4 linked regions of the Canis lupus familiaris genome follow. The protein of the gene in region 4 interacts with the protein of the main gene of each other region in a biochemical or structural test. Links are inferred from orthologs where the notes say so. Each region holds a gene or a part of one and is shown on either strand. Other genes may lie near its edges. The genes, in order: RXRA, SP1, POU2AF1 and POU2F1.

Region 1 (3,563 bases), on a different chromosome or scaffold from region 4:
TGGGTCAGAGCCAGGGGTCCAGGTTGGCCCAGTTCCTGATACGTGACAGGCGTACCAAGTGGAGACCCGTTTTTGCTGAGACCAGGGTCCTCAGTGCACATCCTGGCAGTGGGGCAGGAGGGACAGGTGAGCCAGGTGTGCTGGTGCTGGGCCTCCAGTGGGGGCCGGCAGGGAGCACCCCCCACCGAGCCAGCCTCCTGCCCCACTGGGCCACCTGCACGAGCTGGGTGCTGCCAAGTGCACCACCGGCGGAAGGCTGCACGACACCAGCTGTATGCCAGGCCAGTGCTGGGCGCTGCGGGAGCATCCCAGGGCAGCCCATGTGTGCTTGGGGCAGTGGGAGAGGTAGCAGCCGGCCCAGAGGTAGGAGGAGGCTGGGCATGCCCTGTGGGGGATGGATGGCAGGGAGACAGAGTGACTCCAGAGTGATCCGCAGTGGGGGGAAAATGCACTTGGGGCCAGCTCTGCCCCCGGCAGAACTCTTGTCCCCGGGCTGTCGGCCTTGGGGCCTGGAGAGCCTGTGGGCTTGGGTGCCTATGGGCTTGGGGGCCTGTGGGCCTGGGGCCTGGGGACCTGGGGGGCCTGGGGGCCTAGAGGCCTGGAGGCTTAGGGGCCTGGGGGGCCTGGGGGCGTAGGGGCCTGGGGGCCTGGGGGCTTGGAGGGCTTGGAGGCCTGGGGGCCTGGGGGGGCCTGTGGGCTTGGGGGCCTGGGGGCCTGTGGGCTTGGGTGCCTATGGGCTTGGGGGTCTGGGGGGCCTGTGGGCCTAGGGGGCCTATGGGCTTGGGGTCCTGGGGGCTTAGGGGGCACCTAGATGCCTGGGGGCCTGTGGGCTTGGGTGCCTGGGGGCCTAGGGGACCTGGGGCAGGGCGTGCCTTCTGGAAGAGCTTTCCCTCTAGCTGGGGCTAAATCCCCACACCCAGAGCCATCAGGGGAGGTGGTAGGGGCGGCAGAGGCCTGGGTCCTCGCCCTTACTCACCATATGACAGGGTAACCCCTACCCTGCCCTGGGCCTGTAGGATTGTAGTCAGGATGATGTGTGACAGGCTGTGTGGGGCCATGAGTCACGGAGCCCGGGGAGTGTGGCAGTGTCAGTGCTGCACCTGTGGAAGCGGCTTGGGGCTTCCCCGTCCACAGGACTCATTGAGATCCCAGCACAGAAATAATTTCTATTTCAAGTTTTGCTTCCATACTTTCTCGTAACCCTTGACACCCACCCCAGTTGTCTGCACCGGGATCTCATGAAAATACTGTCCGGTTCGCCTGAGGCTTTAACACACCTTATGTCAGTTTAAGAATTTATTCTTTTGCGGTGCCCCCCGTAGCACATGGGAGTCTGAGAGTTTGCTGCTGAGACCAGGTTGGCAGCAGCTGCCCCGTGGTGTTCCACAGAGAGGCCCTCTGTCCTCCATGGCAAGAGTGTCCGGCACTTGTGGGAGGAGACTTCCTGGGCACATGGGCTTGGGAGCACCTGGGTTGAACAGAGCCAGAGGGGATGCTCCGTGCAGGACTTCTTGGGAAACTTGTTGCCCTAGTTGGCATGTGGCTCAGAATCTCGGGGTCCGCGGCACCTGCAGTGGGGTGTTCTGTGCTGGTGCGGCCCATGGAGGGCGGAGTGGCCGACCCATCATGGGGAGGGACACAGCCACGTGACCGTGCACCCTCCCCTCCCCGCCCAGGCTGGAATGAGCTGCTCATCGCCTCCTTCTCCCACCGGTCCATCGCCGTGAAGGACGGGATCCTTCTGGCCACCGGACTGCACGTCCACCGGAACAGTGCCCACAGCGCGGGGGTGGGCGCCATCTTCGACAGGTGGGTGCCCCGGGCCAGGTTCGTGGAGGGTGTGGATGTGGACATGGAAATTGGCATACAAGGACACAAGTTCAAGCCTTTGCACGTCCATCCACCGGAGACTTGACGACCCCAGCGTAATGTGAGGGTTCATTTCCTCCCGGCTCCTTTCTTTAACATCCTGTATCCCGTACGTGGAAAGAGGCGCCGTGCTCCTTGGGCGGAGGTTATACAGCAGGTGCAGTCCAGCAGTGGCCCTGGGTCTTTGGAGCCGCAAGCCCTCGGCTGCATGTGTGCCACTGCTCCTCCTCCCCGACCGCAGGTGGGCGCGCGCCTCCCTGCACCCCTGCGTCCCCTGGCTCCCCAGCAGAGGGGCAGCACTGGGCAAGGGGGCGGCCGCATGTCTCCATTCTAGCTGCTCCCCAGCCACTCAGCCCGCTGGAGGAGGAAGGGCCGGGAGGGACACACTGTGGGCCATGGGGGCAGGAAGGTGGTGGCAGGGCTCCCAGGGAACCCCCGAGCGGAAGAGCCTGGGGTCAAGGGTGCACAGACCCTCCCGGGAATCACCCACAGGAAAGTGAATGCAGGAACTGTGCTGCCCTGCGGGCAGTTCTGGTAGAACGGAGAAGGAAGCCCTGGAGCCCACTGGGATGTGCCAAGTGCAAGTAGGGGTTGTGGCCACATACACTGGCAAGCACTGGTTTTGCAGGGGATAGGTGGTGTGTCTTTGTGCAGTACTTCTCAGGGCCTTGAGAGAGGAGCCACCAAAGGCTGCTGGGAGTATGGCACTTCAGTGCCCCCAGAGGCCCCTTGTAGAGAGTGCAGTGCTGGGATGGTACTTTGGTTTAGAAACGCAGCCCCGCCACACTCCCAGCTGCTAGGGCAGTAACAGGGACAGAGGCTTGGGCTTCTACCCAAGGAGCAGCGGCACAGGGAACCAGCTACTTGCCATTCAAGTGTGTGGAACTTGTGACCCCTGCCTCAGGGCATCCCCTGGCCACAGAGTGGTGGACATCCGAGCGCCCGTCCCCTCCCACCCTGTCTTCGGTCTCCAGGGGACCGTGTCCCTCTCCAGCCTGCAGACCCTCGGGGACTCTGGCTCCTTGGGGTGACCGTCCAGGCCCTCCCCAGGCCACTGTCCTCTGTTTCCCTATGGTCCAGCCTCACTGACCACTTAGCACTTCCTGGGCACAGCCATCGAGTTTGGGGAACCAGAGACTGGGCTGATGGGGTCGGGGAGCTCAGGCTGGGGATTTGGGACCCCATGGGGCGGGCCAGTCAGGCTTGGGTCAGAGTCCCGCCCTCTGACAGAGCGGGAGGGGAGCCCCAGTCCTGGGCTGGGCAGCATCCCGGGGGGTGGGGCCTGTCCTCCAGCTGCTCCCTGGTCCCCATCCAGCCTCCCTAGCCCGTCCTGGGGGTCTTTCTGGGGCGGGGGTGCCCTGGTGAGGGGCATGGTCTGACTCAGGCCGTGGTGTTTGCCTGCTTCCTCTGCAGGGTGCTGACAGAGCTCGTGTCCAAGATGCGGGACATGCAGATGGACAAGTCGGAGCTGGGCTGCCTGCGTGCCATTGTCCTCTTCAACCCGGGTACAGCTTTCCTGGCATGGCCTGCCGTCCGGCCTCGGGCCCGAGAAGCCCACTCGTGCTGCAGACTAGCCATGCCGCCTTCTTCTTGTGGCTCCCAGGAGTGGGACGCACGGCAGCCACTGCATGCAGCGGGGGGTGGAGGGCGGGGGGGTGGATCGAGAGCCGTGCTTGTTTCATGCTTTGGCCTGG
Region 2 (4,313 bases), on a different chromosome or scaffold from region 4:
GCCGGAGTTTGGAACAGCCTGAAGCTGGAGATTCTGGAGGGTTTCCTGGGAGATAGCTTGGGTTGTAAAGGTCTGCCCTGACAATGGTGCTGCTTGGAGGGCCTGGAGAGCCTGTCCCCCTTGAACTAGCTGAGGCTGGATAAGAATTTGTTGCTGTTGCTGTGTCTGCTGGTTTTGCTCTCCCTCTTTTTGCTGACTTGCTTGCAGAGAGCCTCCAGATGTCTGGTTCTGCTGAATGTTTAGAGCATCAGACCCCTGTAGCCCACTGACCCTCTGGGGTGTCTGCCCTTGAGAGTTGGTCCCTGCTGATCCGCTGGTGGTGAAGTTCATAATTCCCATGTTGCTGGTGGTAGTAGTTGTTGAGTAGCTATTGGCATTGGTGAAAAAGGAGCTGGAACTGGCTTGTGATGATACCAAACTGGCAGAACTGATGGCAGTCCCTGAGGTGGAGGGCTGTGAGCCACTCTCCTGGGACCCAGAGCTGCTGATAGTGACTGCCTGAGAGCTAGGAGTCAAGGTAGCTGCAGAAACGCTGTTGACAGGTAGCAAGGTGATATTCCCGTTCAGGGCCACTGGTACATTGGTCACATACTGAGTCTGTCCTGAGAGTACGTTATTAGTCAGGCCTTGGAGGGGGACAGCCTGCTGGAGTAGGTTTGGCATAGCAGCAATGATGTTGCCTCCACTTCCTCGATTTGTGATGATCTGTTGGTTTGCACCTGGTATGATCTGTATTTGACCAGAACCATCCTGCTGCACTTGGGCCCCAGTGGCAGCGAACTGCAGCTGTTGCCCATCAACGGTCTGGAACTGTGGGATTACTTGATACTGAATATTAGGCATCACTCCAGGTAATCCTGTCAGGACTTGCTGGTTCTGTAAATTGGAGGTGGCGGCCACAACATACTGCCCACCAGAGACCGCACGATTCTTGGAAGACTCACTGCCATTGCTGCCATTGGTACTGCTGCCACTCTGTTCCTTTGAGGTAGGGGTAGCCCCAGAGGAGGAAGAGATGATCTGCCAGCCATTGGCACCCTGTGAGAGCTGTGTGGCTGTGAGGTCAAGCTCACCTGTACCCCCTGACTGGCTTGGGCCTTGGGAGTTGTTGCTGTTTTCATTGGGTGACTCAATTCTGCTGCAAGTTGCTGCCAGCAGAGCCAGAGGGGATGGCTGGGATTCCTGGCCGGAAAATAAGGGAGAGGATAGGAGTCAGAGACACCCAGCTGCCAGCCCTGGGGGCAGTTTTAAAACAAATAAACAGCAAAACTGCAGCCAAAGAGAGGGAAAAAAAAAAAAAAAAACCTGAAACAAAAAGCTGACCTATCCATACTGCTGAAATCCTCATCTCTGGAGATCTCCCAATCATTTGTCTCTCTGTGCTAACTTCCCTAGCTACAAAATGGTTTAGCGCTTTCCTAAAAACGTTTCTGTGAAAAGACAATAATCTAAGAATATTTACATTCTCTAGACATCTCCCCTACTCTGCCCTGGTTTATCACTTACCTGCCCTCCTCCTCCTCCACTGCTGCTACTGCCTGTGCTGCTGCTTCGAGCCTGAGAAAAGGCACCATCACCATTACCGTTGCCCCCATTATTGCCACCAACTCCTTTTTCAATCTTCACCACGGCTGTCATTTCATCCATGGAGTGATCTTGGTCTAAAAAGAATTAAAAGATAAACAACTTAGAGTTGGAGGAAGGAAAAGGGTAAGGTTAGGAGGGATAAAGGACGCTATGATGAAACAAATAATTAACAGTAAGGTGAAAGGCACCAGCGTTAAAAAAAAAAAAAAAAAAAAGTGGATTGAGGAAAGGGCAATTGTAGGACACATAGAACACAGACTTGGCTTAGCAGTGCTGAAACTGGGCCTCAATTCTTCCCTGGCACAAAATTACACCCAGGAAACATTAAAAATGTACTTTTCGTATAGGAAATGTGAGGGGCGATGGACATGTTCAAAGAGTTTCAAAATAAAAAAAAGTATCCTGGGGATAAAAAGGAGAGGGATAGGTAAGGCAAAGAACAACATGTGGGTGGATGGAAAGCTTGCTAAAATTAGGGTCAAAGAATATAGAGAAAGAGAAAAACTCAAGGGTAAAAAGCAGCACGAGGAGAAGAGGGGCAAAGGGGAAAGAAAAAACAAAAAAGTGTGAGTGGGGAAACATTTGTGGATACGGCTAAGGGGCTACGGGGTCCAGGGGTTACGAATCTGGAGGTTTCGGGGCGGACAGAGGGCGGGCCCTGGAAGGAAAGGGCGGTTTCGGGGTGAGGGGCGTGGAAAGGGCGGGACGGTGGGGGGGAGGGGAAACCTACGGGGGGAGGGGAGGGCCTTGGGGCAGGCGGCGACCAGAGGGCGGACCGGGGAGGCGGTTGGCCCGGGCGGGGCCTGCACTGCTCGGGCCGCCCCCGCGGCTCCAGCCCCCGGCGGGAGGAGCCTCAGGCGGGCGGCCGAATAGTGGGGGGTAAGGCCCGTCCCCCGTGGCCGGGGCGGGCAGGGGGCGGGCGAGGCCACGCTGCCCCCTCCCCCGGGGCGGGCGGCCCATCCCCCGCTTTCTCGCAGGCCCCGCCACTGCCCCTTCTCCCTCCCTTCCCTCCGCCCCGGGCGGGACCAAGGCCGCCGCCGCCGCCTCCCGCCCGCCCCCCCTCACGGCGGGGACCGCCCGGTCGGCCCTCGCGCGCGCCCCCTCATTCCCCTCCCACCCCTAAGCGTGGAGTGGACTCATCCTTACCGCTCATGGTGGCAGCTGAGGGACGAGCTCAAGGGGGTCCTGTCCGGGGGGGTTGGGGGGGGCCGGGAAAAACGCGGACGCTGACGAGGCAAGCGAACCCGGACCGGACAGGGAGGGGGGGGGTAAGGAGGAGGGAGCAGCGCGCCACAAGCCCGGCCTAGGCCCCGCCCCTTCGCTGCTGCCCCGCCCAATGAGGGAGGGAGAAAGGCGGGACTTGCGGAAGAAAGACGCGTGGGTCATCCAATGGCAAGGCTCACTGGCTCTCTAAGGCGTGTAGGACAAAGTTGCGAGCCTGGTGTCCGCCCAGGGAGGCCGCCCTCTCAGTTTTAAGGCCCAATGAAAGGCGCAGGAAGTGGGGGTGGGCGGGAGCTAGTGATGACAGGCTTGGGAGGGAGCCAGTCAACCGCCAGGCGGGCTCCCTGAACGGTGGGGATAGGGAGAGCTTAGGTTGGAATGACAGAACATCGGCCAACCAGAAGCCCGGACATGCCTGGGCAAAGTCCCCGGTGGGAGGGGGTAAGAAGCAGGCCGAAATGGGATAGGATGAAGCCGACCACAGCCAATCAGAAATCAGGCGGGCAGCCAGGAAAGTTAGGATTGGGCCAACGCTGAGACAAGACAAGCGGGGACGCAAATTGACGTGAACGAGAAGCCAATTGAACGCCGAATGCACTCCGGGGGCGGGACTTTGGGGTGGGCCGAGGAGAAGCGGCGTCTCCCTCAGTCGGTCCGCCCAATGAGGCGGCGAAGGGGGCCAGGCCCCGCCCCCAGGGGGGCCAATGGGCGCCGCCAGAGCCGCCCGTCGCGGGGGAGGGAGCAGGGCTGTGCCAAGAGGAGGCCGCCGCCATCTTGGCCCTCCTCAGGGGACGTCTTTGCAGTGGTTAGGTGGCGCGCTTCGGTGGGGCCGTGCTGCGCAACAAGTGTCAGGGTCGAGACGGGCGGAGCGCGGCTCTGCCTCCCGCCGGCCGCTCTCTCGGGGGCCCCCCCAGCGTCCCCCTCCCCGCGGTGGGCGGACGGGCGGGCGGGCGCCTCGGAGTGTGGGTGTCGGCCCTGTGGGTGCGCGCGCGCCCGGCCAACCCCGCGCCGACCGTCCGCAAGGGCTTTTGTGCGACTCCGGCGGACGCCATCTTCCCGACTTCTCCCGCAGACGGCGGCCGGCGGCTTCCTTCCGCGGCGCTGACTTTCTCGAGAGCTGGGCCTGGAGGACCTCCCAGAGTCCGCGTCCTGTCAGCCACTTCCTGCCTCTCCTTCCCCACACACCCCGTCCGACGGCAGGAGGAGAGCGCGGGCCTTTGTAACCAAAGTCACAGGACACTTTCCCCTCAGACACCTGCGTTTCTGGCACCTCCCGTTCTACCTCGCTTCCCCCCCCTCCCCTGGTGTTGGTGGAGGCGGCCTGGGTGAGTCGTCAATGACACGGAGGTCATTCCCTGCGGCCCCTCCTGGTATCTTCGTGTTGTCACTAAATTATTTTCAGTGCGGCACTTGGTGACCTGGGGTCACGCTTTAAAGTCCGGATCCCGGGGATCCCCGGGGGGCTCAGCGGTTTGGCGTCCGCCTTCGGCTCAGGGCGTGACCCC
Region 3 (3,563 bases), on a different chromosome or scaffold from region 4:
CACCCAGGCACCCCACAGAAGTCAGACACACCTGCAGGATAATTTTTTGAGTGTTGCCTCTAGCATCAGATTGCCTGGGTTCCCTTCATCCCTTCACTTAGGAGCTAGGAGACCACAGAGCCTTGGTGCCCACATCTGTGAAATGAGAATACTGATAAGAGAGCTGATGCCAGGCTCCAGTGGGAGGGCACATGTGGAGGACTTAGCATAGTTCCTGGCAAACAGAAAACTCTCCATAAGTGTTATTATGATTGTCTCAAAGTCGGCCAGCAGCATTAACTAAGGGCTTCCTTCAAGTGCCAGATAGGAAAGGAATGAAGGAAGAAAGGAAGATAAATAGTTTTATATGAGTGACACCTGTGTGAGCAAAGGAATGGGAATCCCCCAAGCGTTCAGAGAAGGAAAGCTCCGTGGGAGTAGCCATATCCAGCTGCAGTTCAGGGTAAACTGTGGGAGGTGGAGCTGGGGCCTCATGAGTAGCTGCAAAGCCCACGTTGATGATGGAGTTTGCTTTGGTTCCTTGCCTCCTGTCCATTTCCCTCAAGAGTTGAGTGTCATCCTGATGCACCTGCCTTTTCATCACTATCCAGCCCAGGGCCCACAGAAGCCCTCCTGCCCTGTGCCCCCTGGCTACCCAGCAAACCGGTTGTGGGGCCTACATGGTGGTACTAGGAAGGAGTGCCTTCAGCACCTTTCCCAAGCAACTCATTTCCATATCGGGGGCCTTAGGTGGGGGGAGGAGGTGGCAGATATAACTGTTCCCAGTCATTTCAACCCCAAGGATTTCTTTCATTATTTACCTTTCATTATCTCCACCTCCTACTTTGAAAGGTTCTGTGTATTAAACAGACTGTATTTATTAAGAAATAATTTATTTGTTTTGCCACTTTGTAATTAACTCATCAAAGCTGGTTGGAGCTACCAGTCAGCACTCCTGATGAGCAGGAGCTAAGACCTGTTGTAGCACTGGGTTGACAGAATTCCATCTCTGAGTAAAGAAACCTGCAATTACAGGTGGCCTGCATGGGTTTATGACTCAAAAAAGTAGGATTTCCATTTGGATTTTTGAAGAACTGGAAATTTTAAGGCTTTGCTGGGAAGCTGGAAGGCCTCTGAGACCCTTTCCAGCTCTACCATTCTGTAGGAAAACACTGTAAGCCTTGCTACTCCAACTATGGTCCCTGGACCAGCCACAGTGGCATCACCAAGGATCTGAGTGGACTTGCAGAATCCCAGGCCCTACCCCAGCCCTCCTGGACCAAAATCTGCATCATAACAAGATTCCCAGGAAACTGACATAAACTCTTCCTGAAATGACTCTAATGGTTTACTCTCACAACACAGTGGCAACCAGACAGAGATAGGATGGGGGAATGAGGGACAGTGTGTGGGGGGGGCGGATTTGGGCCTCTCTTACATCATTTCATGTAGAGACCTTCCTCCTCCACCTGCTTCCTCAGCTGTAGAAGATAGGAAGGACCCAGGCCCTTCTCTCCTGCAGGCTTGACCTCAGGTTTGCAGTGTGGTAGCTGCACAGGTGAGAGGCATAGTTTGCAGGGCACCTGAGAAAATAACCCTGGGAGAGCCATGGGGGTCCAGCTCAGAGATATGAGGACGAGGACGTGGAAGGCGCCGGGAAGCTTTAAGGAAAGGCTAGTTCACTAACACAGTAGTGCTTCCCCAGCTTCTAGGTCTGCCCAGAACAGGAGGGAGGTGAGTGGGGCTCTGTTGGCTTGGGTGGATCTCAGGATGTCAAGGCTGCCATAGGGAGCCAGGGAGCCAGGGCCGTCTTTGTGTCTAGGCCTGCCAGTAGCCAGCCACCTTTGGGATATGGCTACCATGCCAGGGGACAGGCTTGTTAACATGCTGTACTTTCACTGATTTTTAAGATGGACATTTCTCCCCACCCACATTTTAATATCTTTGAAATTGGGATGCAATTTATATTCAATAAAACCTGGAAAAGCATCTCTAATCAGCTCGGCCCAATGGTGTCTGTTCTATAGGTAACTCCATATAGAAGAGAAATGGACACCTGGGGAGGTGGTGTGAGCAGGGACATGCAGCTGGTGACTTGGACCCAGCTCAAGTCTGTGTGGCTTCTGGGGGAGACTGAGCAGGTGGAGACAACACCAGGACAAGGATGGGCAAGGCCAAGGGGGTCCCCAGCACTGCTAACCCTTCATCCTGTGTCTTTCCATCACAGACGAGAAGTGCAGCTGCGCCCGCGGTCGGGCCCCAACTGGAGGGCCCGGAGCACCAGGCGCCCCTCACCTATTTCCCGTGGCCTCAGCCCCTGTCCACTCTACCCACCTCCACCCTGCAGTATCAGCCTCCGGCCCCAGCCCTGCCTGGGCCCCAGTTTGTCCAGCTGCCCATCTCCATCCCTGAGCCAGTCCTTCAGGACATGGAAGACCCCAGGAGAGCCATCAGTTCCCTGACCATCGACAAACTGCTTTTGGAGGAAGAGGATGGTGATGCCTACGCACTCAACCACACGCTCTCTGTGGAGGGCTTTTAGGGCATGCTCCTGAGAATCCTGTTCCCTGAAACTGGGATTTAAAACAGGGAACAAGATTCACATCTCTTTGGAGTAGCCATTTTATGACTACACTTTGCATTCCAAACTAGAATGATAGACTTTCCTTCCTCCCTCTTCTTTCTCCTCCCTGCTCCCTCTTTCCCTCCTCCCTCTCTTCCTTCCCTCCTCTGTCCTTCCCTCCCTCCCCTCTTCATTCCTTTTTTCCTTTCTCATTTCTTTTTCCATTTCAGCTCCTATTTGAGAAGAAATTATAGGGATTTAGTGATAATATTGACACCAGTGTTGCAGACCTATGACCCAGGTGCTTTTACTTCTGCCTCAGTTCATCAATTGGGACAGCAGCCCCACCGAGCTGGGGGCCAGCAATGCCCTACCATCTGTCACTTTAAGATGGATGGGGTGTCCTACCGCCCCTCCAAGGGCAGACCCAATGCCAGAATCCTTGAGCTGTCAGTTCACATGGTGGCCCCTTTGCTGTTCTCAGACTTACAGTGTCAGGCAGCAGAGTCTCAAGGCCTGGGGTTCAGTGAGGTGGTGGGAGTGAGGGTCCTGGGGGTGGGTAGGGTCTGGATCAGGGGACGGAGGAGGGAGGGGAACAGGTGTGTGTGTGCCTATGGGGGGGAGGGGGAGGAAAAGATTGGGTGGAGAGAAAGAGGGTCCAAGGAGCCATTCTGCTCCAGATTACTTGGTGATTAAGGAGAATAAACTTAAGAAAAATATCGGTTTAATTGGTGGTTTTGTTTTTCTCCTTGAGGATCTTGCAAGGAAAGCTGGGCTCTATACTCAGGAGAATGAATAGGTCTGTGCTTCTTCCCCTGTGCAGACCTTCCATGGGGCTTCCGCGGGGGTGGGGGTGGGGTGGGGGGGCAGAGCCACTGAAGCCCAGGGGTGACTGGGTCCTCACTTAGTGCTGCCATATGCTTCTTGTGTGTTTTAAAAAACTCCACAAGCCAACATTGTGTGGAGTCAAGGCCTCTTTCCTAAGCACCATCCTTCCTGGGGGATTCTAGAGCCTCTAGTA
Region 4 (3,563 bases):
GTTAGTTCCCTGCTTGCAGTTCACTGATTTGGGAGGAATTTTAGGGAAGGTGAATGGTAAGAAGAGGAAATTTAGGTTGATAATTAAATACTCTGTGAAATAAAACAGGAAGACAGAAGCAACGAAAGAAAAACTAACAAAGGGACTAAAAATGTTTCTGGCCTTTTAATATTAAGGTGCCTGTCTCCCACTTGGATGATCACAAACATATGCACTGTGTCTGTGTCACTGCCTTTCTCAACACTGTGAAGAGACAAATACAAAGATTCCAAGCTCCCTTGGGACACAAGCAGAGCGATCAGAATGAAAATGACCTACACACCCTCTCTCAGACCCCAGCTTAAAAGGGGGGCAAGTGCAGTCTTGGGCCACCAGAGACAGACATAAGCAAGCACCCACAGACGCCAACTGGGAACCTTGACCTCCGATAAGGAGGGGAGCTCACATGAGCCCCACTGCAGTGACCCCGGCTTCCGGGAAATATTCTGGTATAGATACTGTAATGACAGCACACTGACAGGAAGGGGAACTGAATTTCCATGTTACCCTCCATTCCTCTTCATCTACTTCCATAAACTCTTCCTCTCTGTGGGCTCATGTACATAGTCTAGAAACACCCTGAAAACAATTCCAGAAGCTATATATCACTTTCTACATTGTACAGCGAGACGTGTATTTCCATTGTGACCTGCCTAAGCTGGAGCATCACTAACAAACCAAGGAGACACTTGAGGTGTGTGCAAAGTTCCTGCTCAAAGTCCTTCAAAGGTTCTAAAGACCCCATGCCCAGCTAGTAAGTGCGTTCCCCAGTCAGGGCAGCAAGGAGAGTCTCAGGGCTAGAGGGATTTACGCGCCGTCCAGTGAAAAGGGGTCTGTGGCCAGAGCAAAGGTGGTGGCCTCAGACTCTTCTCATCACACCTCTTTGGGGATATAGAATGGATGGCAATAGTCTAGTGGAGTTCCTTTAGAAAACAAAAGAAGGGCGGAGTTTCCCAATTTCAATCAGTCAATTCGCTCTTTGCCAAGTAAATGAAAGGAAGTTTGGATGAAAAACTTCCACAAAATGCAAACAAACAAACAAACACACCAACAGTAGGAGCATTTTTCAGGAGATAAGAAATCAGGAGAACCACCAAGTCAGGTGTCTGCAGTAGTCTTTGCTCTTCGGGCCCAGATCCCGTCCTGCAACACGCATGGCCGTTCCCGCTGAAAGTGGCAGAAGCAGCACCTGTGCACCGCAGGATCTGGGCCTCAGGGTCATTCAATGATCTGGGGTGAGTGAGAGCTACAGTTCAGCAGGAATTCCTTCCTACGCAAAAGTGCTCGAAAGGCACCACCTGATGGGGGGAGGGGGCGTGTGTGGAGTGGGAGTGTTTGCACACACTGCCTTCAGCTTCTGCACCAAGCCTCTTGCATAAGTGGCAAAAGAAAATAATTTTCTAGCACCTCTGTAAGAGTCATCAAGGATAAGGAAACCAGCAAGAACATTCCCCGCAGTTAAGAACGTAAGTCTCCCCTGACCCCCAAACCCTCCCTCCCCACAGTGTGGGAGCTCACTGAAATAGGATCCAGGAGCAAGAGATAAACATGTCCAAACTATATATATATATAAAAAACAATAACAACAACAACAATAATAATAGAGATACAGTAATACAGGCCTGCCTAAATTGTACCAGTTAAGAAAGGAACCCCCAACACAATTGATACGATTATAAACACCTTGTTATGACTTAATGGCCTGTACAACAGACCCATAAAAATGATTTTTTTTTTTAAGAAAAAAAGAAATTTAGACAAACAAGAAACCCCCTTCCTATATTGGAATTGGTACCCACCTTAACTTGTCACCATGACTGCTGGAAATGAGAAGTAGTCCTTTCACTTCTTTTTTTGTTTGTTTTTGATTTTTTTGTTTCTGCTTTTTTTTTTTTTTTTTTAATTTTTGGTTAGAAAGTTCTCCAATCCATGAAGCAATCCTGAAAAGACAGTGTTTTATTACAAAATTAGGCAAATGTTGTCCTGTCTCCATCCTTTTGTTGTTCTGGTATGCATTTTTTTTTTCCTTCTCTCCCTTCTTCCCTTGCTGCTGAAACATGGCAAGAGGAAGCCAATCACATTTTTCAGTCTCAGCCTGGCTGGCAGCCCCATCATGCCGCGAGTGGAAAAGGCTAGTGGCAGCCCCGTGCAGCCCAGCTCACTGTGCCTTGGAGGCGGTGGTGGTGGTGGAAGCGGCCCCACCGGCAGAGGCCACTGTGAAGAGAGAGTTCTGGATGGACTCAGCAGAGGTGGAGGTGGCGTGAAGGCTGGCTACAGGTCCAGAGTTCCCTGCGGAGGCCGCAGCGGCAGAGACCAAGCTCACTGGGTTGCTGGTGAGCAGAGAGAGGTTCTGAGGGTTCAGGAACAGGGGGGCAGTCACGATGTTGGGGGCTCCTCCTGCATTGGCAAATACCAGGTTCCCGGTTGCATCCAGTGACGTTATTGGAAGAGAGCCACCGGAAGCAAGAGCTACAGACAAAATCCCCCCAAACAGGCAGAAAGGAAAATGTTAAAACCATTCTAGAGAAGCCAAGTAACACATCAAATGCACTGAGTTTTCCTACAACCTGGGTGGAAAGAGTGCAGCCCTTCATTGATGTTCTCTCTTATAACACTTTCCTGTCACCTACTGAAGTGTATTTGTAATTTTGGAAGAGACTGAGCAGCTGTATTATTAAATAATTTAATGAGCACACAGGACGGAGGGGAGGGGAGAGCCAAGCACTACTGAATCACACATGCTGCCGTCTTGGGGCCTCATCTCCCTAGAGTACCTCATCCTCCTATAAGGATTTATTAAGTCCAATTATTTTGTTTTTAAGGAAGATTGCTGATTTTATTTATTTTTTTTTTAAATATATTTTTTTTAAATTTATTTATGATAGTCACAGAGAGAGAGAGAGAGGCAGAGACACAGGCAGAGGGAGAAGCAGGCTCCATGCACCGGGAGCCCGACGTGGGATTCGATCCCAGGTCTCCAGGATCGCGCCCTGGGCCAAAGGCAGGCGCCAAACCGCTGCGCCACCCAGGGATCCCAAGATTGCTGATTTTAAACTACTTTCATTCAAAAGACAAACAAGGTATAGTGACTGCGCATTAAAATATGGTTAGCTTTTAGCCAATAACTGGCATCATTGATAAATTTGAGTACTTGTTTTTTAGTATGATGTACAGGATGAAAACGATCCTTCAAAATGGCTTTAGTTCTAAAATAATTTTCTATTACTAAATAAAATGTAACGTGTGGTTACTGTTTCACTTGCCGAGGCATCGATTTGATTCCTAGGACTTACTTGTACACAGGAGAAGGATAGCAGAGAGGCACTGAGGCAGACGGCCTTAGGGGCTAGCTGAGGTCAGGGCCTGCTCTCATGAGGGAGAATTTCTCTATGACGCTGTCGCTGCTCCATAGAAGCCATCACTGAACTTTTCTTTGAAATAATTCTGCACTCTCAATATCTTCTGTCATCTGACAACCCCTCCAATACCCTCCCACCCATAAAACCACATTTTCAAATGTAGAT

The links.
Region 1: the proteins of POU2F1 (region 4) and RXRA form a complex in vitro, tested with the Homo sapiens proteins (2 studies listed by BioGRID). The link is inferred for Canis lupus familiaris from reciprocal best matches to the Homo sapiens genes POU2F1 and RXRA.
Region 2: the proteins of POU2F1 (region 4) and SP1 form a complex in vitro, tested with the Homo sapiens proteins (3 studies listed by BioGRID and IntAct). The link is inferred for Canis lupus familiaris from reciprocal best matches to the Homo sapiens genes POU2F1 and SP1.
Region 3: the proteins of POU2F1 (region 4) and POU2AF1 are reported together in a solved structure, tested with the Homo sapiens proteins (2 studies listed by BioGRID, with this or other methods). The link is inferred for Canis lupus familiaris from reciprocal best matches to the Homo sapiens genes POU2F1 and POU2AF1.

The regions. Positions count from the first base shown.
Region 1 is NC_049230.1:50,625,068-50,628,630, forward strand, and holds part of RXRA (retinoic acid receptor RXR-alpha), read left to right. Parts: intron 1-1,676; coding exon 1,677-1,809; intron 1,810-3,282; coding exon 3,283-3,374; intron 3,375-3,563. UniProt on the Homo sapiens protein: Receptor for retinoic acid that acts as a transcription factor.
Region 2 is NC_049248.1:44,804,195-44,808,507, reverse strand, and holds the start of SP1 (transcription factor Sp1), read right to left. Parts: upstream 2,846-4,313; 5' UTR 2,741-2,845; coding exon 2,734-2,740; intron 2,255-2,733; exon of another isoform or gene 1,847-2,254; intron 1,662-1,846; coding exon 1,507-1,661; intron 1,183-1,506; coding exon 1-1,182. UniProt on the Homo sapiens protein: Transcription factor that can activate or repress transcription in response to physiological and pathological stimuli.
Region 3 is NC_049226.1:21,727,471-21,731,033, forward strand, and holds the end of POU2AF1 (POU domain class 2-associating factor 1), read left to right. Parts: intron 1-2,206; coding exon 2,207-2,521; 3' UTR 2,522-3,270; downstream 3,271-3,563. UniProt on the Homo sapiens protein: Transcriptional coactivator that specifically associates with either POU2F1/OCT1 or POU2F2/OCT2. It boosts the POU2F1/OCT1 mediated promoter activity and to a lesser extent, that of POU2F2/OCT2. It recognizes the POU domains of POU2F1/OCT1 and POU2F2/OCT2.
Region 4 is NC_049228.1:30,914,575-30,918,137, forward strand, and holds part of POU2F1 (POU domain, class 2, transcription factor 1), read right to left. Parts: intron 2,509-3,563; coding exon 2,198-2,508; 3' UTR 1-2,197. UniProt on the Homo sapiens protein: Transcription factor that binds to the octamer motif (5'-ATTTGCAT-3') and activates the promoters of the genes for some small nuclear RNAs (snRNA) and of genes such as those for histone H2B and immunoglobulins.